7 linked regions of the Callithrix jacchus genome follow. The protein of the gene in region 1 purifies or fractionates together with the protein of each later gene. This does not show direct contact. Links are inferred from orthologs where the notes say so. Each region holds a gene or a part of one and is shown in the gene's direction. Other genes may lie near its edges. The genes, in order: SIN3A, BRMS1, SAP30L, MTA1, SAP130, ING2 and MTA2.

The links.
Region 2: the proteins of SIN3A (region 1) and BRMS1 purify together in Homo sapiens (affinity purification with western blotting; 4 studies listed by BioGRID and IntAct, with this or other methods). This does not show direct contact. The link is inferred for Callithrix jacchus from reciprocal best matches to the Homo sapiens genes SIN3A and BRMS1.
Region 3: the proteins of SIN3A (region 1) and SAP30L purify together in Homo sapiens (affinity purification with western blotting; 4 studies listed by BioGRID and IntAct, with this or other methods). This does not show direct contact. The link is inferred for Callithrix jacchus from reciprocal best matches to the Homo sapiens genes SIN3A and SAP30L.
Region 4: the proteins of SIN3A (region 1) and MTA1 purify together in Homo sapiens (affinity purification with mass spectrometry; 3 studies listed by BioGRID, with this or other methods). This does not show direct contact. The link is inferred for Callithrix jacchus from reciprocal best matches to the Homo sapiens genes SIN3A and MTA1.
Region 5: the proteins of SIN3A (region 1) and SAP130 purify together in Homo sapiens (affinity purification with mass spectrometry; 4 studies listed by BioGRID, with this or other methods). This does not show direct contact. The link is inferred for Callithrix jacchus from reciprocal best matches to the Homo sapiens genes SIN3A and SAP130.
Region 6: the proteins of SIN3A (region 1) and ING2 purify together in Homo sapiens (affinity purification with mass spectrometry; 5 studies listed by BioGRID and IntAct, counting the BioPlex papers as one, with this or other methods). This does not show direct contact. The link is inferred for Callithrix jacchus from reciprocal best matches to the Homo sapiens genes SIN3A and ING2.
Region 7: the proteins of SIN3A (region 1) and MTA2 purify together in Homo sapiens (affinity purification with mass spectrometry; 4 studies listed by BioGRID, with this or other methods). This does not show direct contact. The link is inferred for Callithrix jacchus from reciprocal best matches to the Homo sapiens genes SIN3A and MTA2.

What each region holds. Positions count from the first base shown.
Region 1 is NC_133509.1:22,463,594-22,467,184, forward strand, and holds part of SIN3A (paired amphipathic helix protein Sin3a), read left to right. Parts: intron 1-1,920; coding exon 1,921-2,159; intron 2,160-3,525; coding exon 3,526-3,591. UniProt on the Homo sapiens protein: Acts as a transcriptional repressor. Corepressor for REST. Interacts with MXI1 to repress MYC responsive genes and antagonize MYC oncogenic activities. Also interacts with MXD1-MAX heterodimers to repress transcription by tethering SIN3A to DNA.
Region 2 is NC_133511.1:123,419,153-123,422,257, reverse strand, and holds part of BRMS1 (breast cancer metastasis-suppressor 1), read left to right. Parts: exon of another isoform or gene 1-210; 5' UTR 211-217; coding exon 218-356; exon of another isoform or gene 357-1,429; coding exon 1,430-1,520; exon of another isoform or gene 1,521-1,719; coding exon 1,720-1,847; exon of another isoform or gene 1,848-2,006; coding exon 2,007-2,086; exon of another isoform or gene 2,087-2,176; coding exon 2,177-2,273; exon of another isoform or gene 2,274-2,807; coding exon 2,808-2,900; exon of another isoform or gene 2,901-3,105. UniProt on the Homo sapiens protein: Transcriptional repressor. Down-regulates transcription activation by NF-kappa-B by promoting the deacetylation of RELA at 'Lys-310'. Promotes HDAC1 binding to promoter regions.
Region 3 is NC_133503.1:53,653,886-53,657,990, forward strand, and holds the start of SAP30L (histone deacetylase complex subunit SAP30L), read left to right. Parts: upstream 1-1,222; 5' UTR 1,223-1,830; coding exon 1,831-2,028; intron 2,029-4,105.
Region 4 is NC_133509.1:140,274,776-140,278,996, forward strand, and holds the start of MTA1 (metastasis-associated protein MTA1), read left to right. Parts: upstream 1-1,353; 5' UTR 1,354-1,421; coding exon 1,422-1,449; intron 1,450-4,221. Other genes in the region: uncharacterized protein LOC128928889, read right to left, coding at 359-493, 969-1,353. UniProt on the Homo sapiens protein: Transcriptional coregulator which can act as both a transcriptional corepressor and coactivator. Acts as a component of the histone deacetylase NuRD complex which participates in the remodeling of chromatin.
Region 5 is NC_133507.1:36,408,575-36,412,165, forward strand, and holds part of SAP130 (histone deacetylase complex subunit SAP130), read left to right. Parts: coding exon 1-114; intron 115-277; coding exon 278-368; intron 369-568; coding exon 569-673; intron 674-3,251; coding exon 3,252-3,393; intron 3,394-3,591. UniProt on the Homo sapiens protein: Acts as a transcriptional repressor. May function in the assembly and/or enzymatic activity of the mSin3A corepressor complex or in mediating interactions between the complex and other regulatory complexes.
Region 6 is NC_133504.1:7,879,392-7,883,474, reverse strand, and holds the start of ING2 (inhibitor of growth protein 2), read left to right. Parts: upstream 1-1,281; 5' UTR 1,282-1,716; coding exon 1,717-1,885; intron 1,886-4,083. Other genes in the region: uncharacterized protein LOC108590761, read right to left, coding at 737-1,063. UniProt on the Homo sapiens protein: Seems to be involved in p53/TP53 activation and p53/TP53-dependent apoptotic pathways, probably by enhancing acetylation of p53/TP53. Component of a mSin3A-like corepressor complex, which is probably involved in deacetylation of nucleosomal histones.
Region 7 is NC_133511.1:119,870,981-119,875,151, reverse strand, and holds the start of MTA2 (metastasis-associated protein MTA2), read left to right. Parts: upstream 1-1,306; 5' UTR 1,307-1,684; coding exon 1,685-1,712; intron 1,713-2,461; coding exon 2,462-2,529; intron 2,530-2,881; coding exon 2,882-2,975; intron 2,976-4,171. Other genes in the region: EML3 (echinoderm microtubule-associated protein-like 3), read left to right, coding at 233-363, 461-664. UniProt on the Homo sapiens protein: May function as a transcriptional coregulator. Acts as a component of the histone deacetylase NuRD complex which participates in the remodeling of chromatin.

The sequences.
Region 1 (3,591 bases):
AATACTCTTAGCTCTTTGCCAGTTTTCCCTTGTCACACTTGCTTCAGCTGTTTCTGGTGTGTTTTTAATGAACAGCCACATGCTGCCTCACCACTGGCAGGTGGTTGGCCATCTTTGCCCCAGCATTTATAAGGAGTTGCAGCTATTTGCAGAAAACTAAATCATGACAGATTTTAACTTCCATAGGAGTATTACCAAACTAAAGAAGACATTTCTTTGTTATTTATATTTAGTAGGGTTAGCTGATGAGTTAGGAGAGCTTGGCATCTGTTTTTGACAGAATGTTCCCATCCTTTCTCAACTGGTATGCCTGCAAATGAGAGGCAGCCTCATTTCTCATTTGTGACTACAAGGGCAAAGATGAAAGAAGTGTGGGGTGTCCATGTGTTTAAGATTTGATGGGGTGGGCTAGTTTGAAGGAACATGCTTTACCAATCATAAATAGGTTAGTAATGCTTCAGTACAGACAATTCCCACATTTGAGTGACTTGTAAAACCATTGGGTTTAATTTCTAATCATTCTACGTGTACGTTGGTGTTTAGCAGGGGATTTGGCGTGTCTGAATCACAGGGGACCCAGGCCAAGGGATTGCCACCATCATGAATGTTGCCAGTTACTAGAAGGAAAAGAAAGCCCAGAAAGATCTCTTACCTTTAAATGCTCCAGCCTAGAAGTAATAAACATTACTTTTACTCAACTCATAACAAATCATTTGCCAGAACTAGTTACATGACCCTATTCATTCATAAGGGAGCCAGGAAATTTAGTCCCTTTTTGTCTGTATTTGGAGAGCAAGAGGGGCCAGAACTATTGACAAAATGACTACCAGAGTCTCAAAACAAGAAAACGTAGGGAACAATTCTGCAAACATTTGGCTGTAGGTTCTTGAGACTGCTCATTTACTTCTTTTTTTTCTTCTTCTTTGATACGGAGTCTAGCTCTGTCACCAGGCTGGAGTGCAGTGGTGTGATCTCAGCTCACTGTCGCCTCTGCCTCCCAGGTTCAAGTGATTCTCCTGCCTCAGCCTCCCGAGTAGCTGGATTTACAGGCACGCGCCACCATGCCCAACTAATTTTTGTATTTTGAGATGGGTTTTACCATGTTGGCCAGGATCGTCTTAATCTCCTAACCTCATAATCCACCAACCTTGGCCTCCCAAAGTACTCGGATTACAGACGTGAGCCACCGCACCTGGCCCATTTACTTCATTTTCTGTTTCTCATTTAAAGAACCTTATTTTATGCTAGGGAAAAACTAGAATCAAAGGTTGCCAGGAGTTCAATAAGAATTTAAATGATTACCCACAGATGCAACAGCAAACTCCTTAGGGTATGATAGTCACTGCTTTTACTATTACTGGATGCAGAACAAGGCTATTGAATATTTAAGTATTTGAATATATTTAAATATTTCAAGTTAAACCTAAAAACTCTCAAGACAGAGGTCTTTTGGGATTGTTTTGATGATGTTTGTTCATAATGGATCTTAGCAATTCAGGAAAGTTCAGAGAAACGTATCAGTAAAGTCATCTCCTGTTAGGTTCCTCTGGTGCAAGATCAGTAGTCCTAAGCAAGGCACACACTGGTGGTGATGGAGGTAATAACTACCATGTATCCAACTTAATCCTATGGTTCTTTTTTTTTTCTGCTTTGTAGACTACTGACTCAGTCCTATGGTTCTTAAAGTGCCATGCATTGTGCTAAATACTTTATGTAGATTATATCATTTAATCCAAAAAGAAGCTTATTAGAGTAATAGGTGCTGTTATCCCTATTTTACTGGTAAGGAAACAGCCTTATGCAGCTAGTAAGGCAGAACCAGGATTCAAATCCAAGGAGTTCAACTCCCTACCTTATTCGTCTAACCACTATATTCTATTCTGATTTGGGTCCTAAGCATACCTTTGTCTTCCTCTTCAGCTTGATGTAGTTTTAGAAACCAATCTGGCAACAATCCGGGTTCTGGAAGCAATACAGAAGAAGCTTTCCCGCTTGTCTGCTGAGGAACAAGCCAAATTTCGCTTGGACAACACCCTTGGGGGCACATCAGAAGTCATCCATAGAAAAGCACTCCAGAGGATATATGCTGATAAAGCAGCTGACATCATTGATGGTCTGAGAAAGAATCCTTCCATCGCTGTCCCAATTGTCCTTAAAAGGTACCTGAGCAAATGTGCCCTCGGTGCTTTAGTGTACTTCACTACTGTGTCAGTGTCCCACTAAATAAGGCTCTTGTTTTCAACCTGGTTGTCCCATGAGACCGCTCTTTCTCCCCAGCCCTGGTTGTTGGAATTTACATGCAGAGTGGAACTTCTTTTGGGGGTTCTTTGTGACCAACGTTAGAGAACAAATCTTGTAGGTTCATGGTGGAAGGCTCTGTGTATATGTTTGAGGGAGTATTTTAAAATACAGAAAAGAAAAGATAATTGCCACCCATGTTCCTGCCACTCAGGATTAACTTAAAATCTTTTTTATTTTTAATTAATTTTTTTTTTTTTTTTTGAGACAAGGTCTCCACTTTTTGACCCAGGCTGGAATGCAGTGGTGTGAACACAGCTCACTGCAGCCTTGACTTCCCAGGCTCAAGTGATCCTCCTACCTCAGGGTAGGAGGGATCTGGGACTACAGGCCTGCGCCACCACATACCCAGCTAATTGTTAATTTTGTTAAATACAGACAGGGTCTTGCTATGTTTCCCAGGCTGACCTCTAACTCCTGGGCTCGAGCAATCCTCCTGCTTTGGCCTCCCCAAAGTGCTGGGATTATAGCACAGGCCACAGTATGCCCAGCCCTATGTCATTCTTGACCACACTGAATCCTTTGCTGTGAGCTTGGTTCTCTCTAAGTATCATCTGGTAAAAATTAATTCTTGTTTGCTGCATTGTTGACAAATACCCAGATTTTATTTGTCCTTCATCTTTCCCTCAAGAGCTGGCACAGATTGATGGTTTCTTTTTGCCTGTAACATTTAACTCTGGCTTTTGAGATGTTGATTATTCTTCCATTTTAGTGCTGTTTTTTTGGTCTTAGTCTGTTGTCTTCTGGGTTATTAAAATCAGTTCTGGTCAGAACTTTCCAGACTGTATCCAGAGGAACATTACTGTGCACGTTCTCTGCTCTTGGACTTCTATGTCTTCATTAGCATTGTGAACATTTTGCAAAATCCTGCAGCAAAGAAACATGTTTAACTTTATTTTTGCTGGCAAAAGAAGAGAACTGTTTTTTTCAAGGAAGACTTCCTTAAATCTCAAAGGTATTCCTTGGAATGCTGTTTGATAAGTAACTGTTCTAGGGAAATTATTTGACTGAGATAAATCATTTCCCCAAAATAAGTCTTGGATGAGTAATTTCCTCATGAAACAGAGTTCAAGACAGATTTGATAACATTCATCCTAAGTTGCCAATAATTTTGACAGACCTAATATAGCTTTAACTTTTCTTGAAATAAAGTAAACCTGGCAGATTTCTTTGTTCTAAACCCTCTGAATTCCCATATGTTGTTTCCATCCCTTCCCACTTCACTAGGTTGAAGATGAAAGAGGAAGAATGGCGAGAAGCTCAGAGAGGCTTTAACAAAGTATGGCGAGAACA
Region 2 (3,105 bases), on another chromosome or scaffold:
AGCAGGAGCATTTCCACAGCTCCCAGGCTTCTGTGAGAGGTGCAGATGGCCATTTGCACCCTTATTACCCAGTATGTGCTCAAGGTGTGGCCAGGCCAGTCACTTCCTGGCTGTCCCAATCTGGGGTCTGGTCGGGTTCAGCTCCCCACTGCCTCTTTCCCCCTCTGAACAGAGGGCAGCTGTGAGTGATGGCTTCATTCCTTCTCCCAGAGTCCAGATGCCTGTCCAGCCTCCAAGCAAAGACACAGAAGAGATGGAAGCAGAGGGTGATTCGGCTGCTGAGATGAATGGGGAGGAGGAAGAGAGTGAGGAGGAGCGGAGCGGCAGCCAGACGGAGTCAGAAGAGGAGAGCTCTGGTGAGCCCCTGCACACACACACACACACACACACAGCCCCTACACACAAGCATGCATGTACACGCACGCACAGCCCCTACACACAGCCCCTACACACAAGCACACACCACCCCTCCACATAAGCACGCATGCACACACCACCCCTCCACATAAGCACGCATGCACACACAGCTCCTACATGCACACATGCACACACAGCTCCTACACACACACACACATGCACACACAACCCCTACACACATGCACACACAGCCCCTACTCACAAGCACACATGCACACAGCTCCTACACACAACACACAGCCCCTACACACAAGCACACACGCAAACACAGCCCCTACACACAAGCACACACACATGCACGTGCATATATAGCCCCTACACACAAGCACACATGCACACACAGCCTCTACACATAAGCACACACAGCCCTTACACAAATACACAGCTCCCACACACGCACACATGCATACACAGCCCCTGTGCACAGGCACACATGCACGTGCACAGATAGCCCCTACACACGAGCACACATGCACATGCACACACCACCCCTACACAGAAGCACACACGCACACACAGCCCCTACACACATGCACACACACACAGCCTCTACACACAAGCACACATGCACACAACCTCTACACACAAGTACACATGCACACCCACACAGCCTCTACACACAAGCACGCACACACACATAGCCTCTACAAACAAGCACACACATACACAGCCTCCACAAAGTACACATGCACACACACACAGCCTCTGCACACAAGCATGCACACATATACACAAACAGCCTCTACACACAAGCACACATGCACACAGCGTCTACACACAAACACACACACAAGATTGCACCAGCTTGCTTTACAACATGCTTCAGGGGGAGCTGCAAGAGCAGAGCCAGAGACTGGAGGAGGACTGCCAGAGCCTGGACGCGCGCGCACACACACACACACACACAAGCACGCACATGCACACACAGCCCCTACACACGCATGCAGATGCACACACACGTGGGTATCCACCACGCCTCTCCAGAGCTACCCCTTACTGGCCTCTTGTCCAGAGATGGATGATGAGGACTATGAGCGGCGCCGCTGTGAGTGTGTCAGTGAGATGCTGGACCTAGAGAAGCAGTTCTCGGAGCTAAAGGAGAAGTGAGTGTGGGAATACCTTGGGCTGGGTCTGCGAGGATATGGGATGAGGAGGTGGCGGGCCTGGAACTGGGCAGGCATGGCTGGTGCCCAGGGAGTGCACGCCTGACATGGGTCTTGCTGTGCAATGGGTGCTGGGTATGTGTTTGTCCAAGAGCGATGGGTGAGCAAATGGGCTCACTGCTGCCTTCTCCCCACCCAGGCTGTTCAGGGAACGACTGAGTCAGCTGCGGTTGCGGCTGGAGGAAGTGGGGGCTGAGAGAGCCCCTGAATACACAGAGCCACTTGGGGGGCTGCAGCGGAGCCTCAAGATTCGCATTCAGGTGGCAGGTCTGTGGGTGGTTCTGTGCCCTATTCTCCTCCCAGAACCCATGGCACCCTGTCCCCTTCCTTTCTCGTTCCTGCCCAGCCTCACCCTTTGCTCTCAGCCCTCCTTTGTGGGCACTGGGCTCCCTAGACAAGCAGGGCCCCTCCTCCCGCCCTCTGCAGGGATCTACAAGGGCTTCTGTCTGGATGTGATCAGGAATAAGTACGAGTGTGAGCTGCAGGGAGCCAAACAGCACCTGGAGGTGGGCCTGAGGGCATACGGGGTGAGGCGGGTGCAAGGCCTGCAGTGGACTCCTCCTGTTCCTCCTGCTGAGCTATTGCCCGTCTTCTAGAGTGAGAAGCTGCTGCTCTACGATACGCTGCAGGGGGAGCTGCAGGAGCGGATCCAGAGGCTGGAGGAGGACCGCCAGAGCCTGGACCTCAGCTCCGGTGAGTGCCAGAGCCTGGCTCTGTCAACGCCCACCCGGCTCTGGACTTCAGCTTTCCTAACTGCACAAGGGGACAGTCAGACGACCTGCCTCTTGGGATCAGTGTGAGGACTGAAGGAAACCAGGCCTGGAAAGGGCCTGGCATACAATGGGGGCTCGGGCAGTGGGTCCCCCTGCCCTCTTCTGCCCCTGCTCTCTTTCCAAAACAGGTATCAATGTAACATGCAGTCCCATATAGTAGTTGTAGTCCCCTCCATGTTCACAGTACCAGTGTTCATGTGGAGTCCTGGGGTGGCAGGAATTGTCATTATCCCACTGTCCACTAAACAGATGAGGCTCAAGAAGTACAGTGGCCTCTTCCCGGGGTTGTGCATTTGGGACCTGAATAGCCCTAAGGGGCTTCCTATGGCAAGCCCAGGGTGGTGATGGGGCAAGGGAGGTGAGGCCAGGCTGGCCCATGGTGGGGGCAGAGGCTACAAAAGAGGGAGCATCCTGTGGGCCAGCACCCCAATTTTGACTCTGGGTCTGGGGGCAGAGTGGTGGGACGACAAATTGCACGCCAAAGGCAGCTCCAAGTCTTGGGACTCCCTGCCGCCCAGCAAGAGGAAGAAGGCACCTCTTGTTTCTGGTATCCTTTCACCCAAGGTGGCCTAAAAGTGGACAGGATCAGCTCCAGACCTGGAGTGGGGGGTGGAGAGGACATGGAGGACAGTCACATAGACGAACTCGTGGTTGCTTGGTGTCACGTGACCATGTCCAGGCAAATCCAGCTGTCAGCAGTTTCTTACAGGGTCCTGGGTCTCCCTGGGCTGTATGGTCCCTTGGAAAACAGA
Region 3 (4,105 bases), on another chromosome or scaffold:
ACACAAACCCGAAGCTCCTTCTATACCCTCTAGTACTATGAATATAGGAACACTTGCTCACCTGTCACCTAACACAACCTCCGCTCTTCCCTGCCCACAAAACACTGCCCAGCCCTAAATGACTACACTATCCTGGGCTAGTCCTATCGCCCTACGGACCTCCTCTGTCCCCATGTTGCCCAGTCGGAGAGTGGTATGACTGAAGTGCTGGACCAGAGGATCCCCTGCAGCCCTTCCTGGAGGGAAGGTGGTGCCCTGAGCGCCGAAACCAAGCGCAGGGGCTTGGCAGGGCGCAGTCCCTTCGCCGACAGACCCGGGGGATCAAAGCAATAAACTACAGCTTGGAGCCCCAGGGAGGGCCCAAGACACCGCAGCCCTTCCCCATCTCGATCCCGAGATTGGCCCCTGGCCCCCACTCTCAGCCTTCTCTCTATCTCCCCTGCAGCTCCCTCCTCCTGACCGCGGCTCACCTAGTCCACCCTACAGACCGCATCCGGACTTCCCACTCTTCCCAGTGGAGGGGTCGCCCAAACCCCTCGGGTCTCCTTTCCCACTCTCCTTTTCTTTCCGTGCCTTCCAAGCTAGTCCCAGTCTCCACAGTCTGGAAGTTCTCGGCTACCGCCAATATTGCGACTACCTTGCAAGATCCCCCATCACCTCCTCCGCATGTCTTTCGGCGTTATCTGTATGGGGTTGTCCCTCTGTCTTTCCCGCCATGACTGGCTTTTCGTCCTATTTCACCACCCTCCCTCCCATGTGTCTGCGAGTCTTCTGGTCCTGGCCCTTTCGTTTTATTCGTCCGCCCCTCTCGTGAGCACCTCTATCCCCTTTAGGTCCCCTCATATGCCGCTCCTCCAAGTGTGTCCCTCAGCGTCCCCGCCCGCGTCTCTACTTCTGTCTGTCCCCGAATGTGTTCCTCTGTTCCTGGAGTCTGGCCCTCGGTCCAGCCAGGCCTCTGCTCACCATCCCTCCCCGGGACCCGAGAGTCTGCGGCCCGGTTCCCAGTGCTCTCCGGGGTAACTCTTTCCTCTTCCACTTTCTCTACTTTGAACCCATCCCAGCAGAGTCCAGGAAGTAGCCTGGCGCCGGAGACTGGCGGCGGCGACACCCAATGGGACGCGCCAGCGGCAGCGGCGGCCCCGCCCAGAGAGCAAATGTGGCCAATGGCCTCGTGAAGGCGGGACTTCCGCTGTCCCGCGGAGGGCGGGGGGAGCGAACTGTTGTGGTGCGGCGCGTTCGGCTGGCGGCGGCCAGGCGGCCCAGGGGCTGCCGCGGGACTCGGGGAGCAGCCTAGTGGCTGCAGGGGTGGAGTGGGCCGGACGAGCCGCGGGGCCCGGGCGCCGCGGGTTCGAGGCCGGGCCCCGCGCGAGGAGGCCGCGCCACCCCTGGGGAGCTGCCCGGCAGCGAGTTTGCCCCGCAGCCGAAAGAAGGCGGGAGCAGGCGGGGGCCTTCGAAACCCCCTGGCAACGTGGGCCCGGAGTCCTTGGGGAGCGGCTGCTTCCTGGGACGCCCTCCCGGACGCCCCCGCTGCAGGGTTACGGTTCTGGGCCCCCGGCAGAAGGCGCCTCCGGGTGACCCCCGGCGGGGCCCTGCGAGCCGCGGGAGCCGACCCCGGGGCCTCGAGCGGGGAGGAAGGGGGCTTCCGGAGGCAGAGGGCCGGGGGCCGAGGGAGCCGGGCCTCTCTGTCGCGGGGCAGGGCAGCGCCCGGGCTGGAGTCAGACTCTGGGACCCTCTGGTGCGGGGGTCTCAGCGACCTGCCCCGCGGCGAGCGCAGCTGCGGAGTGGCCTACCGGGGACCCTCCCCCAGAGGAACCGGCCCGGGGCGGGGAGATGAACGGCTTCAGCACGGAGGAAGACAGCCGCGAAGGGCCCCCAGCCGCCCCCGCCGCCGCCCCGGGCTACGGCCAGAGCTGCTGCCTCATCGAGGACGGCGAGCGCTGCGTCCGGCCCGCGGGCAACGCCTCCTTCAGCAAGAGGGTCCAGAAGAGCATCTCGCAGAAGAAACTCAAGCTGGACATCGACAAGAGCGTGAGTCCGCCCCCGCCCGGGTCTGGGCCCCGGCGCCCCCCACCCTCTCGGGCCGCTGCCCCGGGCTGCGGTCTGGACTCCCTGGGCACTCCTCGCCGTGGGCCTCGCCGCCCCGGGTCTGCAGAACTGAGGAGTTGGACTCGGCATTTCAAAGGCCGCTCCGGCGCTGACATGCTCTGACTGTGATTCTGCCCAGATCGGGGAGGATGGGGGCGGGGGCTTCGGGACTCCTGCTGCCTGGGAAGATTGGACAGCAGTTTCCAACTTGTTTTATTGGTTTAGATTTTATAGCTGGGAGAGGTGGGTTAATTTTGTTGGCCCTTGAAGGAGCAAGAATAGGAGAGGGGGTGAAGATACCCAGCTCTTTTCCAACTTCTCTCTCCTTCTAGGAACCCTGTTATTCCTTCAGACAGAGAAAGGTGGCAGTTACTTCCCTGGCTCCCGCAGCCTCGGCATCTGCAGAGTGTCACCGAGCTAGCTGCTTCCAAGGCAGCTTTGGAAGTGGGTTTTTCTAGGATGTGGCAGAAATAAGGCCAAAGCCAGGTCTTGGGAAATGGCTCTTGTAGTCGATTTGACTGGAGGGGGAAGAAAAGTCATCAGTTTTCTTAGTGGTAGTTTCTTTTGAAGTAAGAGGGTGGAGAATTAGATTTAAATAGAATTGCCCTGCTCTTTGTGCCTTATTATAGGAAACTTCTCCTGTGATTTCTCCACTTGTAGTTAACAATTCCGAAGCTGTGCCTATTGTCAGCCAATTAAGAACTTTTTAGTTTGACATCTGTTGCTGCAAGCCTTAAGTGATTGATTCATGATTAGGAACTGGAAATGAGTTAAGGGGGTATTTAATATTCAGGCAGACTAAGAGCTTAGGTGGTTAACATCCATTCTCTTTTAGAATCAAAATTTTTCCACACTTGGAAGAAATCAGAGACTGCTTGTTAAACTGAAAAGGAGTGCACCTTTCCTCTCTGATTTTAGGATTGAAACAGGCCTCGAGATAGGAAGTGAGGGTGTCCGATACAAAGGGCACCTAAGAGGCTGGTTAATTTCTTAAACATATTATCTGATTTACTTCCAAGCCCTATACATAACTCTTCATTAAGTCTCTACTAAATACAAAATCTCCGGTCCCTTTTTTTTTTTCTTTTTTTGAGACAGAGTCTCACTCTGTTGCCCACACTAGAGTGCAGTGGCAAGATCTCAGCTCACTGCAACCTCCACCTCACAAGTTAAAGCAATTCTCCTGTCCCTGCCTCCTGAATAGCTGGGATTACAGGCGTTTGCCACCATGCCTGGCTCATTTTTTTATTTTTTATTTCGCGGTGCTGGACGGGCTAATCTTGAACTCCTGACCTCAAACGATCCACCCTCATAGGCCTCCCAAAGTGCTGGGATTACAGACGTGAGCCACTGTGCCTAGCCCCCGTCCTTTCTTCAGACTCTTCCCTCCTAACCCATTTTAAGTTGATCGTTATAATACATTTGCAGCTCTTGCATGGACAGGTGCGATTTTTAAGTGTTTGGGAGAAAGTTAATGACTTTCTTACTACAGCTTTCTATCGATGGATGCATGAATGGTGATTACCTAAAAATAATCACCAAGGTGGTCCCTCATTAGGTCACATGTTGAGGTGAAATATGGCAATGAATTCATCCTCTTCGTAACACTGCCTACCTTCTGTGTATTGTTAGAAGCTGCTTTACTTGATCAACTTACAATAATATTTTCCAAGAAATAGAATCTTCCATCCCTTTTAGACCACTAGATCCCTTCCCATCTGAATGATTTTGCTACTGCAACTGGGGTTCCTTTTATTAACCCATTGACTCTACTAGAAAACCTGTGTTGAGCTATGCTGATCATTTCACACACACTGTCTAGAAGAAAGACAGCCCGAGCCTAGCACTAGTGTTCCCAAAAGTACTTCTGAAGGAGTCAGGTTTCCAGGTGGAATCACTCACAATTTGTTTTAAGGTGGTGTGAAGTCATTATTTCTGAAAGGGATTCTGTTTCTCACAGGCTTGGGCAGGAATTCAAATCCAAGTAACGGCTGTGTTACAAGAATTTTTAGCTGTTAGA
Region 4 (4,221 bases), about 120 Mb from region 1:
GGGCCTGTGCTAACCCTGGCAGGGCTTTCCTTTCTGGTCCGCTCCGCAGCCATAACGTTGTGGCCCTGCTCTCCTTGGACCCCACCTGACTCTCCTCCCAGCACATGCTGTTCCCTGCCTGCCGGGCTGGGGTCCCCATGCTCTCTCCCCGGCACCCTGACCACGTCCGTCCCACCTGCCTAGATCTTGCACCGCAGCCTCAGGGCTCCCTCCATGTCCTGCAGGGAGGCATGTCCCAGACAGACCGCAGCTCCTTCCAGCCACGCACCCACCTCCAGCATCTGAGCGGGCAGGGCCGTGACCCACGGTGCTGCTCACATCAGCAGCCTGGAGCCATGAGACACCTGCTTTTCCTCACCTCCGAAACTGAGGCTGCACCCATCTCGAAGCCATTCTGAGACCACCTGTTTCTCTCCATCTGGGAAGCCCCCTTCCCGCCTCATGCTCTTCCTGGCTGGGGCGTCTGGGTCACTGGACTCTCCTATCCTCAGACCTGCGCGAAAACACACAGGGAGGCATCCTGACAGGTGGCTGGAAGGAAGGCAGCTGCCCCACTGTGGAGAGAGTGCGGCCCTCCTGGACTCCAGCCCTGCTGGGACTGGCAGGGTCGGCAGGTGCTGGGTTCCAGCCTCAGATGGGGACTTTGGAGGTGGCCTCTGAGCACAGGCACCTCCTCTGTGGCCTTCTCACCAGGTCACAGTTCAAGGAGGCTTTGCAAGCTACGGGGCCTGCCCACAGCAGGGCACTCATGGCCACCTGTCCAGGGTGCCAGGCGGGCTGGGCGGCGAAGGCCAAGGGCACACACTCCCTAGGGTGGGGGGAAAGGTTAGGCCTGGAGGAACTTGTGGAGTGGAGACCCCGAGGCCAGGCCTGGGCCGCTGAGCTTCAGGGCCCTTGGGGGGCTCAGGGAGGAGTGCGGAGGACCCCAGCACCACGAGGAAGCCCTGGAGAGCTACGGCAGGACTCACCTGCGGGGCACCGGGACGGTCCCCAGGGAAGGGGCCCCTGTGGAGGACCCCCCTGGCCCCAGGGCAGTAGGGGAGGATCTAGCTCGGAGTGCGGCTGGAAGGGCCCACCCAGGAAGCGGCGCGCGGGGAGGACTCCGGGCCCCGGGAAGGGGCGCGCGGGCCGCGGGCGGCGCGGGGTCGGTAACGGCCCGCGCGGTGGGCGGTGGCGCCCGAGGCCCCTCCCCGCCGCCCGCGGCCGCTCCTCCTCTTCCTCTCCCGCCCGCGCCGCGGCCCTCCCGTCCCTGCGCGGCCTCGGCGGCCTCGGCGGCGGCGGCGGCGGCGGCGGCAGCAGCGCGGCCCCTTTAAACGCCCGCGGCGCCCCCCGCCCCCGCCATCGCGCCTCCATTTTCCCGGCCGCCCGCGCCGAGCGCCGCGCCCGCCCCGGGCCCCTCCGCCGCCGCCGCCGGCCCGGACATGGCCGCCAACATGTACAGGGTCGGAGGTAAGGCCGCGCCGCCTTTATGCCCGGCCCCGGCCGCCGCCCCCGCCCCTGCGCCCCGCGGCCCCGGCCCTTCCCGAGCAGCCCCCGCCGCGCTCGCCCCAACCCAAAATGGCCCCGCGGGTCGGCCCCATCGGGGGCGGGCGGGGCGCGGCGGCCGGGGTGGGGGGCGGCCCACCTGTTGGGGCGGAGGGGGCGGCCGCGGGGGCGGGGAGGGGCGCGGGCGGCGGGGCCATCGGGGGGCCGGGGCCGGGAGCCCCCAGCGGGAGCACGTGGCCTTGGGAGGCGCCGGCTGCCGGGCTGGGAGCCGGAGTTGTGGGGTGTGGGGTCTCCCCCGGCCCGCAGGCCCGTGCTGGGACCCCGGTGCATCGCCCCGGGGATGGGGAGCCCCGGCGAGGGCCCGCGCTCCTCCCCAGAGCCCTCCTGCAGCCTGGCCGCGGGGCTTCCCCCAGCAGGGCTCCCTCGGGGGTCGTCCGCGGGGAGCGAGCATCCGGAGCACGCCTCCAAGTCCCCCCAAACTTTTCCCTGCCTCCCGCTCACCTCAGCCCAGTCGGGAGGCGCTTTGCAAGGGCTGGGGAGAGGCCGGAGGGCCCCCTGGGCCGGGGCCGGGGCCGGGGACTGCCTCCCTGGGCCCAGCCTCCTGTTGCTCGGGCCCCTTGGGCCTGCAGCTTTGGGCCTTGCCCTACTTCGTGTGCCTGGGACTCCGTGGGGTCTTTCACAGGGAGGTGGGGGGTCGCGCGCATTCCATCACTCCGTCAGCGCCCCCCTCCCCGGGACTCTGAGACCCCTCCCTGCCGGTGACCCTCTCGGCAGGTGCCCATTACTTCCCCCACCTGCAGCCTGCGCTGCTGCAGGGAGCTGGGGTCACTGCCGCGCTGGCCTGGTCCCCACTGCCCTGGCCCCGAGTGCCCAGAACGCTCTGTGTCCCTCGAGCGTGGCTTCTGCTACCTTGGACGTTTGTGTGGTCCCACCGGCCAGCCCTGTGACCTTGGGGACGGTGGAAGCCCCCTACACCCGTCCGTCTGTGACATGGGTGCTCAGTCCGCATCAGCAGCTCGCGGCCCCGGGCCTCTGCAGGGGCGGTGGGCCTGTTCTCCATCCCGCGGCTGCCCCTCCCACAGCCTCACACACCTTTGCCGGGTCCGTGTGTGGACACAGGTGGGCTTGGGCCCACCCCTTGCCCAGGGATCAGCCTGGGTGCGGGGTCCCTCGTGGGAGGGGCCTGCTCCTCCTTGTTCTTTCTCCCCACCTGGATACCCCCTTCCAGCCTGACATGAGGGCCAGTTTCTCACCCTGGTACAGAGGATGCCTACTGCCTGGCTCAGCTGGGCCTACTGCGCATGGTTTTGGGATTGGTCCCAAGAAGAGCCCTTCCTGCCCCCACCCAGGATGGGGGTGGGGAGTGAAGGCGGCTTTGGACTCTAGGGCTGGGGCTACCTGGACCCCGGCTCATGCCTTCCCAGTGGCGAGTGGCTGCGTGCTTGGCCTTCAGGCCCCCCTGCCTGTCAACTTGGCACCAGCCTGGCCGCCCCCTCCACCTTCCTGTGCCTTGGTTTCCCCTTGGTGTGGGTGAGGACCTTGTGTCTCAGCCGTCCTGTGCCCAGTGGCTGAGAATGCCAGGGCCCTGCTCATCCCGTCGCTGAGCTGCAGCCCCTTTGGGTGCTGCACAGGCTTGGGAGGAGCCCTGAGTGGGGCTGCGTGACACTCTGTCCCCCGCACCCTCTGTTACCCCATGCCCACAGGCCCGTCCTGGGGCCTCACTGACCCAAGTGCACCAGTGCTGTGAGGGTGGGTGGACTGGACCCCGAAGCTGCTGCAGAAGGGCCCACTGTGCCTGGCAGAGATGCCGCTGCTCTCTTCCTGGGATGAGGAGCACGGAGGTTGGGTGCCGTCTGCTGGCAGCACAGGCAGGCGTGGGATCCGGCTGCTTCTGTGTGTGCAGTCCGTGGTCACTGTGGCCAGGGTGTACTCGGGGCTGTCAGGCCCCCCGTGTGGCTGCCCCGAGGACGTCCTCTCCCTGCTGGCAAGACTAGGGCTCCCCCTCTCTGTCCTGATCATCCTACAGGAGAAGCGGCATTTATGCCTGGCTTCTGGACGGGAATCCCGGCTTTGGTCCTGCGGTCCTGGCAGGGCCCCGTGGTGGCAGTGGGCTGGATGTTGCAGGTTGGCTTCCTGTCTTGGTGCTCACTCGGGGAGGGGGCATCTGGATTCTTGAGCCCCTAGGCAAGACAGAGGAAGGTGTGCAGTGTCTCCTGAGTGGCCTTCGTGTGTCTGTCGCCCGCTGCCTGGCATGGGCCCTGTCTGGGCGGCCAGCCCTGGCCTGTGGGAGCTGCCTGCAGGGACCCAGCCTGGGAAGGGGCTTGCTCCTGTGTGCCTGCAGGGACCTTGTGCATAGAGGCGCCACATTTAGCACAGAAAAGTACAGGACGCCCAGGCAAATTTGAGTTTCAGATAAACAGAAATTTCTTAGTGTAAGTATGTCCCAAATATGGCCTGAGACATGCTTATCCCAGAAGATTCTTATCTGACGATCATAGTTAATCTGGGCATCCCACATTTTAGCTGGCAGGCTGCTCCAAGGCCCTGCCAGGTCGGGCTCGCTAGGGGAAGGTGTGGCGGCCACAGCAGTTTTGTGCCAGCTGAGCTGGCTGAAGCAGTGAGCCGGCAGGGAACAGGGCCTGTTTCTTCCTCGCGGAGTGCCCTGGCCACAGACTGAGGCCTGTGTCTGTGCCTGGGCAAGGGTGGCGGCGTCAGGGTTCCCTGACCTCTGTTCCT
Region 5 (3,591 bases), on another chromosome or scaffold:
GCAGCAATTAGTATTCAGCGTCCCGCCCAGTCACGGGATGTCACAACAAGAATCACACTACCATCTCACCCTGCATTAGGGACGCCAAAACAGCAGCTTCATACCATGGCTCAGGTAAAACCAAAGGTGGAGAACCACTTGTGTACTACTTTGTTGGATAAAACCAAAAATGTGCAAAATGTGCAGAGGGCCTGGCAATACTGAAGGCATTGATTGTGTTTAGCCTGGATGCAGTGGATAACATTCTTATAACTGTGTTGTGGGGTTTCCCTCACAGAAAACGATATTCAGTACTGGCACACCAGTGGCTGCAGCCACAGTAGCACCTATTTTGGCAACCAACACCATTCCTTCAGCGACTACAGCTGGTAAGTTCATAGCCCTGCTCTTCCTTCTACTGGGGAAAAAGGAGGCAACAGTGGTGGGTTAATTTTTTATTTCTCACCTTCACTCAGAGAAAAACAATGGGCTAGAAATTCTTTTAACTTTTTCCAAGAGTTTTCCCAGGGTTTTGAGAATCTGTAACGTAAGCAGAGAAGTTATTGTGAAAGAATTTCCTTTATTTCAGGATCTGTGTCACACACGCAAGCTCCCACAAGTACCATTGTTACCATGACAGTGCCCTCCCATTCCTCCCATGCGACTGCTGTGACCACCTCAAACATCCCAGTTGGTAAGTGGCATGCTGCCTTCAGACAGAAGCTTACAGGGAGTGGTGTAGCTCCTCTGACTCGGCCTTCATGTTGATGGCTAGTATTGATTTTTACAATCGTTGATTTTCAAAGCAACATTGAATATGACTTTTAATTTCTTTTATGCTAACCCCAATATTTCTGTATTATAATAGGATCTCTCTTAAGAAAGGTAGCTGAGTTGAGAAGGGAAACCTGATACAACCCTAGATCCCTGATTTTCAAGTTGGGAAGTAGAGCATATGTATTAAAATCACCTAAGTGGCTTTTTCCAAGTGAGCTTTCCCTCTCCAGGTGATGTTAAATCTGAATTCAGCTATTCTTATTAGGACTATGTTGGCTCAGAGAAAAAGAGCCTGATAAATTACAAGCATAAGGTTTTTGTCTCTATTCCAATAGAATACCAGTCTTATTTTCTCCATGTTCTGGTCAACATGTGACCATGTTCTCAGAATTATAGAAAGCAAAATCTGATGATCACATTATTCAGAAAATAGGTTTTAGAGATAGCATTATAACAGACTTAATGTTTTCTGTACTTCATAGTCCCTTGGTTTTTATTTGATTATTGAAAATGTATGGGGTTTTTTTTTTTTTTGAGATGAAGTCTTGCTCCTTGTCTCAGGCTGGAGTACAGTAGTATGATCTCAGCTCACTGCAACCTCTGCCTCCCAGGTCCAAGCAATTCTCCTGAGTAGCTGAGATCACAGGTGTGCACCACCATGCCCAGCTGATTTTTGCCTTTTTAGTAGAGACCGGGTTTCACCATGTTTGCCAGGCTCGTCTTGAACTCCTGACCTCAGGTGACCCGCCAGCCTCAGCCTCCTAAAGTGTTTCGATTACAGGCATGAGCCACTGCACCCAGCCTATATGGCTTTTTAAATTAGAAAACAAGCAGATTTAAACTAATGGCCAAGGGGTGGGGTGTGTCTGACCACCAACAATTGGTTAGCTACCCTGTCATATGGCAGCTTTATTCCTATTGGAAGCATCATTTTCTCCTGCCTTTTATTGGCCTCAGTGAAAAAGCAAGGCTTAGTTGCCCCCTGCTCACCACCCTCATTGCTTACCTCGCTGATGGAAAACCTATCATGCCAGCTTCTCTCTGCATTGGCCAATAGATGCAATCTTCAGTGGTCAGATGGGCATCTCTGCTATCACCTTGCAAAAACTTCTCCGGCTGCTTCCCATAGGAGCTGGCTGGGCATCACAGCTGGTCTGTGCAGCTTACCTTTGATGTTAAATGCTCTGAATTTAAGGTAATATATTGGTATCCTCCTAGTCTAGTCTCTGTTGTTAATGTGCCTCTCACTGGCATAACTTGGGTTTTTACACAGATGGAAGGGGTCCCTCTGTATTCCTGATAAGACAGAATAAGAAAGAAAAGATCACAGCTTTTCTTTCTGAATTCCCAGGCATACTGTTAATAAATAGGTCTATAAAGAATAGTGTTAAGTGTATTCTAGTTCAGCTATAACTTCCATACAAAATTGGATTGCAAGTCTTAAAGGAGTACACATTTGGAGCCTCAGATTGAATTTGAAAACTCTAATCGCTCAAGCCTGTAATCCCAGCACTTTGGGAGGCTGAGGCGGGTGGATCACAAGGTCAAGAGATCGAGACCATCCAGGTCAACATGGTGAAACCCCGTCTCTACTAAAGATACAAAAAATTAGCTGGGCATGGTGGTGCATGCCTGTAATCCCAGCTGCTCAGGAGGCTGAGGCAGGAGAATTGCCTGAACCCAAGAGGCGGAGGTTGCGGTGAGCTGAGATCGCGCCATTGCACTCCAGCCTGGGTAAACGAGCAAAACTCCGTCTCAAAAAAAAATAAAAAAAAAAAAGGAAACTCTAATTATTGATTTTGATTTTACTCTGAAGTATTACATAAAATCGCAGGACATTCAAAGGATCTTAGAAATTATTAAGTGATCTAAAAAGAAGCCTTCTTTATAGGTAAAGAAACAGACTTGGGAATTAAATTGGTCTTCTCATTGCTAATTAGCTATGTTTTATAATTATCTGTGGACCTAGAGTAGAATCTAAGGTTTTTCCATTTTTTAACCCAAAATTTTGTTTGTTTACGAATTTTGAGACAGGGTCTCAGTCTGTAACTGAGGCTGGAGTATAGTGGTGCAGTCATGGCTCACTATAGCCTTGAACTCCTGAACTCAAGTGATCTTCCCACCTCAGCGCCTCCCACAGTGCTGAGATTATAGGTGTGAGCCACCATGCCTGGCCTATTTACTTTTTAAACAATTTACTCCTTTTAAAAACAGGTCATTAAAAAGCCAGATGAGGAGAAAAGAGCCTGGTCACTGCTGTCTTTGTATAAGTATTAATGTTGAACCTTGCTTTAATAACTATAGGAATATATCAGTGAATGATAGGGTTGAAATAATTCTGTTGAACTTTATGTACTTATTTTTCATTTTTGGTTTTGATTAAAAATCCAGGCTTATTTTGTTTGCTTTCATAAAATTGCTGCTAGCCAAGAATGTTTTGGTATGCCAAAAAACAACTGTAGAGTGGTCATGGAATTGGCGTTTACTGTTTACAGCCAAGGTGGTGCCCCAGCAGATCACACACACTTCTCCTCGGATCCAGCCTGACTACCCTGCCGAAAGGAGCAGCCTGATTCCCATCTCCGGACATCGGGCCTCTCCCAATCCTGTGGCCATGGAAACACGAAGTGACAACAGGTAGGAGGCCGTGTGTTGGTTATTCTGCCTCACTGTGTCATTAATCATCCTGCTTTATCAGCATAAAACAAAATAACCCACAAATATGGCCTGTATTTATTACTCATGTTTTCAGATTTTCCCCTGAAAATTACACTTTGTATAATTCCTTTTTTAAGCATGATTTTTTTCAAATCAGTCTCCTTTTGGTGGATGTTC
Region 6 (4,083 bases), on another chromosome or scaffold:
CAGTCCTTTGCAATAGTTGACGTCCCAAGACGTCAAGATGCCTGGAGTGCTTTATTTCTGTTTGACATGTAAAATTTCCTCTCGATAAAGAGCTAGATTTCTCTTGCAAGCCGAAGGCTAGTTACTATTCCCAGCTGTTTCAAAAGTGCTCTAAATAGGTCACCATTCCGGTGCACCCACGCTGCAAACTGCATCTAAGATCCAAATTTGTCGCCACTCACTCACATTTTCTTTTTAACTCCAAGGTAGTACTCACAATAGGGCTTGTTTACATCGGCATCCATCAAAATTCTCCAGGCATTCGTTCTACTGACACCATTTCTCTCAAAAAAGTCTATCTAAGTAAAATCAGCTCCTCCGCCGGGCATCTGGTTTACACTACACCGAAGTGAAACCCCACTAGACCCCGCAGATCGCGGGGCCGAGGGCCCGCCCGCTGACTAGGTATCTACTAGCGTCTCCACCGCCCCGGTCCCCTCCGGTTGTAGTCACGGGACAGGATTGAGCAAAGACTCCCGTAAAGCTGCCGTGTGCCCCTGGAAGCCTCGCCGACGTCCCATGCTTACATGATCTGACACCCCCAAACGTAGTTGTTTTTAGGGACCAATGCGTTGGCAGGCAGAGGCCGCCCCGCGTCTCTTCCCCCTAAATGACACAGTAGATTCCCGCGCAGGGCAAGGGCCAGGAAACCCGCAGGGCACACGACGCCGCCGGGGCCGGAGGGAGCACGGTCTACCTCTCCGATCAGCTCCGCAGGGCCGGGCGAGCCCGAGGGCCCGGCAGGAGGCGGGCGGCAGCCCCAGGCGAGCTCAGAGGCGGCGGGAACGCAGCCGCCGCGCATGCTGGGAGCCGCCCGCCGGGGCGCGCAGTCCCGCAGGCCTCGCTCCGGGTAGTCAGAAAAGGGGCCGCTTGCTGCTCCTTTGCAGGCTCGCTCGGACCCGCGCTCGGACCGCCGGATGGGGAAAAAGCCCGTGAGGCCAGGCGGAGCGAGCCGGGAAGAGCTGCCCCTCCCTTTGGGGAGGACCGCAAGAAGGACCAAGCCACCTCCCCTGTCGGGTCCCATTCAGACTTGGGGCGCAGAGGCGGGCTCCCCGGGCTTCCCCTTTAAGGGAGGCGGGGCGCGGCCTGCCGTTTGGCCGCCCCCCTCGCGCCCTCCCCGCTAGCCTTGAGCCAGCAGACCAATCGCCCGGGCGGCGGAGCGAAGGCGGGAGAATGCGAACCCTTCGGTAGGCGGTAGGGGCGGGGCCCCGCCTCATTTGGAGCGAGCCGTGCGCAGGCGCAGAGGCGGCCGCGGGCGGAGGGGCGGGGGCAGGCCAGCGGGAGGCTCCCCGTCAGGCACGGAGGGTGCCTGGGGACTGGCGGGCGGCGACGGGCTTGTCATGGGGATCCGGGCTGCGAGACGGCACTGGTAGCATCTGGGGACTCCGAGAGGGACAGGAAGTGTCAGCGCCCGTGACTCCGGCGCCGGCCCCGCCGAGGGGATCCCGGCTGCTCCGAGCCTGGAGTTTCGCCCCGCCCCTGGGCTGGTGCCGCGGGGGCGGAGAGTGAGGGCTGCTTTGGGGGGGAGCGGAGGTCGGGGAGCGCGGCCGTGCCCTCTCGAGCGGCTGCGGGGTCCCCGCGGCGCCGGGCTGCGGAGCGAAGGGCCCGCGGCGGCCGCGGCCGGTGCATGTACGGCTGCTGGATGCGGAGGCGGCGGCGGCGGCGCTGAGCGGCAGGATGTTAGGGCAGCAGCAGCAACTGTACTCGTCGGCCGCCCTCCTGACCGGGGAGCGGAGCCGGCTGCTCACCTGCTACGTGCAGGACTACCTTGAGTGCGTGGAGTCGCTGCCCCACGACATGCAGAGGAACGTGTCTGTGCTGCGAGAGCTGGACAACAAATATCAAGGTAGGGGCCGCGGGGCTACCGGCCTCGGAGCCGGTGGCGGGGAGCCTGCCCGGGGGAGTGCCACCTCCCTTTCTCCCGTGACAGTCTCGCCGAGCGCACCGAGGGTCTGCTGAGCGGGACGGGGAGGACTGGAGACCGGGTTCGGGCCCTCCCCTGCCCCGCGGTGGGCTAAGACTTCTCTGGGGTCCCCGGATTGGGGGTGGGGGCCGCTCGTCAGCCCCCGCTGCAGACCCAGCGGCTGCAGCTGCCGGGGAGGGGAATCAGCCATTTTAAGCAGCAAGCATTTGTTCTGGCGCTCGCCCGCCCCGTGCCGCAGACCTTGCCGCCCCGGCCCGGGATTGTGCAGCCGGGCAGGGGCCAGAGGGAGTGAGCGGCCGGGCTCCCGCTGATCTGCCGGGCGCGCTTCCCCACCCGACTCGCCCCCACCCGGGAGCGCGGGTGCTTTGGAACGTGCCGGGGGAGGGGGCGAGAGGCCGTGGAGGCGGACTGAGGGGGCCTCCCTCGGCGCCCCAGCCCCGGCCCGGAGGAGCGCGGTCCGTTCCGCTCTCCCGCCCCGGGAAAGTTCCGGATCGCCTAGCGCCGCAGCCCTGGCCCAGCTCCTCCGGCCAATGGTTAAGAGGGGAGGGGTCCCCCGCCCGGGAGGAAGAGAGGGGCGTGTGTGGCGGGGAGGGCCCGCGCCGGGGGCGGGGCCTGCGGGCGTGACGTAGGCGTGGGAGGGGCGCGGCGCGGATTCTCGCGGGCCTGGAACTTGGCTGGTAGCGAGAAGGGCAGTAGCGTGCCGGCTGCTGAGGAGGGAATCGGGGCGGTGCGGGGCGTTGGTTCGGCCCTAGCAGCGTCCGAGTCGGGGGTTGTAGCATGTTTGCGGCGATATTTCCAGGCTCTTCCAACCCGTGAGTCAGGACGGGGATCGGCAGCTCGGACGGTCGCGGATCCTGGCTCCGCGTAAGTTCCGGGACATGTGTCACTTCCGGGCCTCTGGAGGATGTGGGTTGGTTGACTGGGCAACCGCCTGGCGTCCCCGAGCCCCTCCTCCTTGTACTTCAGTGATGAGGCGAAACCACCCTTTGCGGGCCGACCCGGGAAGCCGGGACAGAATCGACCTTCCTTATAGCCTTATCATCTACTATCGGTTGTGCCCCTAGAAGGGCAGTTTAAAAGGGGAAATGTGTTGCGCCTAATAACCCTGAGTCGAGGAACAGACCTTGAACATAGTATGGAAACAGCCATATGGACTTTAAAGATAACTTTCTGAACCCATTCTCTATTTTTGTAGACACGTCAGTAATCCTATAGTTTAAAAGTCTCTGAGGAATCAGCTTCTTGGGTGACATTTTCTGACCTGTAGCATGTTAGAAATTTAAGTGTCTCTGATTTTTTAGTTTATAAATTTATCTGTTTTCTGAATCCGTAGGATTCGTAAGGCCCGAATCCTGTGTTGCAGGGGGCGGGGAAGGGAATTAATACTGATACGCCAGGAACAGACCATCATATAAGTATTTCTTTTACAGATAATATTTACAGAGAGTTTAAGTAACTCGTCCAGTTAATTAGATGTAGACTATATGGCTCCAAAGCCTGCTACTTTAGATGCACATCCTTGTTTTCAAACAATTTAAACTTTAAAAAATAGGGGCCGGGCGCGGTGGCTCAGGTGTGTAATTTCAGCACTTTGGGAGGCCGAGGCGGGTGGATCACGAGGTCAAGAGATCGAGACCATCCTGGTAAACATGGTGAAATCCCGTCTCTACTAAAAATACAAAAAATTAGCTGGGCATGGTGGCGCGTGCCTGTAATCCCAGCTACTCAGGAGGCTGAGGCAGGAGAATTGCCTGAACCCAGGAGGCGGAGGTTGCGGTGAGCCGAGATCGCGCCATTGCACTCCAGCCTGGGTAACAAGAGCGAAACTCTGTCTCAAAAACAAACAAACAAACAAACAAAAAAAACATTGGAACTGCCCAAGGGGATTTCTAGAGGTATGGAGTACATACATGAATGGTAACCTAAACGTGATATATGTTTAATAATTGTACATTGAACCTTTCTAGTTTTTCAAATAACTCTTAAGTTTGTAAAGCTTGCAGGTTTTTACATTGTTTGAAGGCACATGTTTCCTTTCACGAGAGTTAAGCTGTTTGAAGTTGGTGAGGGATGCTATAATTTGTTGACAGGGAAATCTGCTTCCGGATCATCTATAATTG
Region 7 (4,171 bases), on another chromosome or scaffold:
AAGGTGGAGCCCAGTTTGGGCTCGAAACGCTGGGCGTGTGTCGTTGGGTGGGAGTCCAGAAACCTGAAGATCCAGCCCAGGAGGCCCCCCCCCCCCGGCCCTCGGGACCGGGAAGGCTTGCCTGGAACGCGGCAGTGGGTGGCCGTGGCTGCCGGAGCGCCTGAAATAGTGCAGCTCTGGGCCGTGGGTGGCAGTGGGGAGGAGGTCGGGCTGAGGCCGGCCGCTGTGCTAGGCGTGTGGCCGGACGGCTCCGATGGGACCGACATCAACTCCCTGTGCCGCTCCCACAATGAGCGCGTGGTGGCGGTGGCTGACGACTTCTGCAAAGTGCATCTTTTCCAGTACCCGTGTGCTCGTGCCAAGGTGAGGCCGCAGGGGCCTCCGGGGCGGGGTGGGGCGGGACAGGACGGGTGGGCCCGAGGGCTCCGCCGCCACCGCAACTCCCTTCCCTCCTGTCCAGGCGCCGAGCCGCATGTACGGTGGCCACGGCAGCCACGTGACCAGCGTCCGGTTCACGTACGACGACTCGCACCTCGTCTCGCTGGGCGGCAAGGATGCCAGCATCTTCCAGTGGCGAATGCTGGGAGCAGGGGGCGCGGGGCCAGCGCCCGCCACGCCCTCTCGAACCCCCTCCCTGTCCCCCGCCTCCTCCCTTGACGTTTGATCTCGGCCTGGCGGACCAACTGGCTGAAGGCGTGGACCCGCCCCGCCCCGCCCTAGTTCCTTTAGACCCGGGGCTGACTCCTCGACTGACTTCCAGACATTCCCGATCGCGCATTTCCCTGGAGGGCGCGAACGGCGCCCCTGCACACACTGTTTAGACCCGCTGGCTGAGCTGGGCAGCCCCAGCCTAGGCCTTGACTCCCGCTGCCTGCTGAGGGGCAATAAACGAGAACCAAAGTCGCCTCCCGGTGCTTTTGTGGGGCGCTGCTGGGGGCCTCCGGGGCCTTGTGGGGTGGGGACGAAGGAAAAGAGGCGTGCGGAAAGGGTAAGGGAGCGTAGACCATTTATGCAAATAACAGGCAAAGCCGCTTGCAAATAACCTGGTTAAGCGCGAAGGCGCGCGAGTCTTTCGGGGCGGCAGGAGAAGCTGCAGGGACCCAGCGAGTACACAGTTAAGTCCGACTTCTCTCCCGCCCTCGGAAAAATGGGGTGGGTCCGAGCTGCGACGGAAATAGCCGAGTGCCGGGCCGCTGTTGGCCGACAGGAGCCGAACCTCTTCCGGAAGTAGCCGATCTGCGGGGTCTCGCTCTACGACCTAAGCCGAACGGTGGGCCTTGTTCTCCGGATCGGCCGAAGGTGTTCCGGAAGGAGGCGAACCCCGAGGCGGGCCGGGCAAGCCTTCCCTGCGGCCGGCAGATCCCAACGACTAGTGGGACTCGGCGGGGGCGGGGGTAGCTGGAGCTTAGCTCTGGCCTGGCAGGAGCCGAGCTCGTTCCGGAAGAAGCCGAGCGGACCGGGGCCGGCCTCAGCGTCCCGGGAGTGGGGCGATATCTGCCGCGGCGACAGCGCGGGCCGGGATGAACCGCGACGGCTGAGGCAGTGGAGGTGCCGGCTGCGCGGGCCCCACTGAGACTCCCTTGAAGCTACAGCCCCACGCTCGGGGCTTTGCCTCGAGCCGAGCCCTGCCTCCGCGAGCCTTCCGGACCCCTTTGTGCGGCCGGAGGCGGCGGCGGGAACGGCCATGGCGGCCAACATGTACCGGGTGGGGGGTGAGTACCGGGCGCAGGGGTGCGGGGCCCGGGGCGGGAGATGTTGGGGTCGGGACCGGAGGGACTCCGCACCTGGTGGCGCGGGGCGCCGCGTCTGGGGCAGCGTGGACCCGAGCGCGGACCGGAACCGGAACCGGGAGACTGGGAGCGGGGAAGTGAGGGTGCGGGAACGGCGACCGCGACGCGGCAGGGTGCCGAGACTCCCGGAGAGAAGCTGCGGGCAGCCCCGACGGCACTCTCAGGGCTGCGTCGGGGGCTCCCCCGGGTACAGAGTGGGCTTTGGAAACTGGTTCAGAAGGAGCTGACCTGGTAGGGAGGCGACGCGAGGGGCTGGGGCGACGGCTTTGCCACCGCGGGGGAGCCGCCCGGAGATTTCCTCTTCCCAGGCGTTATTGTGCGCCTCGGTTCGAAAAGGTGGGGGCCCAGCGCCAGCGTGAACAATGACTTCGCCGCGACTGGGCTGCAACTCATAGCTGAGTTGTGGGGACGCAGGGGAACCCCTGCTTCTTGCCTGTTCCTTAAGGCTCACTTTTCTGTGAAGGATCCGATTTTAGAACTAGGCGTGGTGGGGATGGGGAACATCCTTATTTTCTCTTAGTCTTTCCACTTTCACATCTCAGCGCCCTCTCTACCTGGATCTTTATCTTCTTTTGGTCCACTCAGGCCAACTTTCTCTCCTACTCTCGTGCTCTGTGTCTCCCGTCTCGTCCTCTGATCTTCGTGGTTCTTCCCCCTCCCCTCCCTTACAGATTACGTCTATTTTGAGAACTCCTCTAGCAATCCTTACCTGGTTAGACGGATTGAGGAGCTCAACAAGGTGAGTGGAGCAGAATCCCTCTCCCTCCCTCCCCCAGTGGTCTCTTTCTTCTGAGGTTTCTAACTTCTGGTGGAAGAGAGGACTCTATACTAAGTATCTATTCATATTCATTCATTCATTCATTGGATGTATTCAGGAAAGGCTATTGAGAGCTTAGCAGGAACTTACTATTCTGTCTCTTGGGGGCAAAGGAAAGGGATTTGGAAGTCTGTCCTTGAATGTAAGTCTTTACTCCTATTTTCTTGGGATTTTTTATTTAGGTTCCTCTGAAACTTACTGTTATTTGTCTCTGTGCATTTCTGTACCCAGATGATCAATTTTTCACTGCTACATTTTTTTTTTCTCTCCTTAGACTGCAAATGGAAATGTGGAGGCAAAGGTTGTCTGTCTTTTCCGGCGCAGGGACATTTCTAGTAGTCTCAACAGCCTGGCTGATAGTAATGCCAGTGAGTACCTTCATCTCTTTCTTTTCCCCCTCCCCATGATCTGAGGCCTGGGCATGTCCCTGCAGGAGTTTCTCCTGGTAGCATGCCCAAGGCAGAGGTGTGAATTTAGGGGTGGGAAATACCTGGTCTGAGGAGGGAGGCCTGTTTTTACACGTTGGGGTTGGAAGCAGGGTGGAGAGATTGTGATAAGGAAAGCTATAATATGGTTTGTGTATGAGTGTAAGAGAGAGATGATAATGTTTATTTAGGGGATGAGGATGAACTTCAGAGAAGCAGAATGCTTTTCTAAAGGGGGACAGTTTGGTGTACATTAGAACAGTAGGTGGTGACTGAAGGTCAAGGTGAAGAGGAAGAGATTGTTCTGAGAGGCCCGCATAACAGGGAAGTAGGCTCATTTTGTAATCACAAGGTGGTGGGAATACCTGGAAGCTGGAAGATGGTAGGAAAGTTTTCTTGTACTTTTCATTTCTTACCTCACCCATTTCCCGGCCCCCACTCCATTTTACATCTTTCCCTTTTCATTTTGCCCTGTCTTCATTCTCTTTAAGTTCTCATCTTTTTTTTTAAAAAAAAAAAACAACACAAAGAAACATGTTTTCCTCAGCTTCTTTTTCCTTTCCTGCTTTGATTTTCTTTCTCCTTCCTTTTGTTCCACCTTTCTAAATTTTCCTTTTTCAGACTGTTCTGGGTGAGAAGGGGTTAAGAAGGATCCCGGCTTACCAAGTTCCTTGGCCCTTTAGGGTTTCCAGCCCCATCTGGCAGGGGCTGACCTTGGCCTTGTCCAATCAGAATGAGTGTTGGGGGTGTGGTCCCCCTTGCCTTAGCACAGGGTTTCCGGAGCACATAGGCCAGGGGTGGAGCCTACCGCACAACCCCCCTTCTCCCTGAGGTTGGGAACAATGCACCAATGAGCCTGGGCCTGAGGCTCTTCTGTCCCCTCCCACGTTGGTTGGCGCCTAGCCAGGTTAACCCCTTCCACAAGGTTTCAGGGCAAGCTGCAGCTCCTTGGGGAGGAAGGTGTTGCCACTAGCTTGAGAGGTCTTGTCCTTGAAAACCCCAGGAACTATTATTAGAAAATGAGGGATAGTTAGGGCCACATGTGATGTTTTAGAGCAGAATCTCCTGAAATTGAAAATAACTGTAAATAGTCTTGTGTGATACTTTTTCATTTTACTGGGTTCCTGGATCTCACGCTG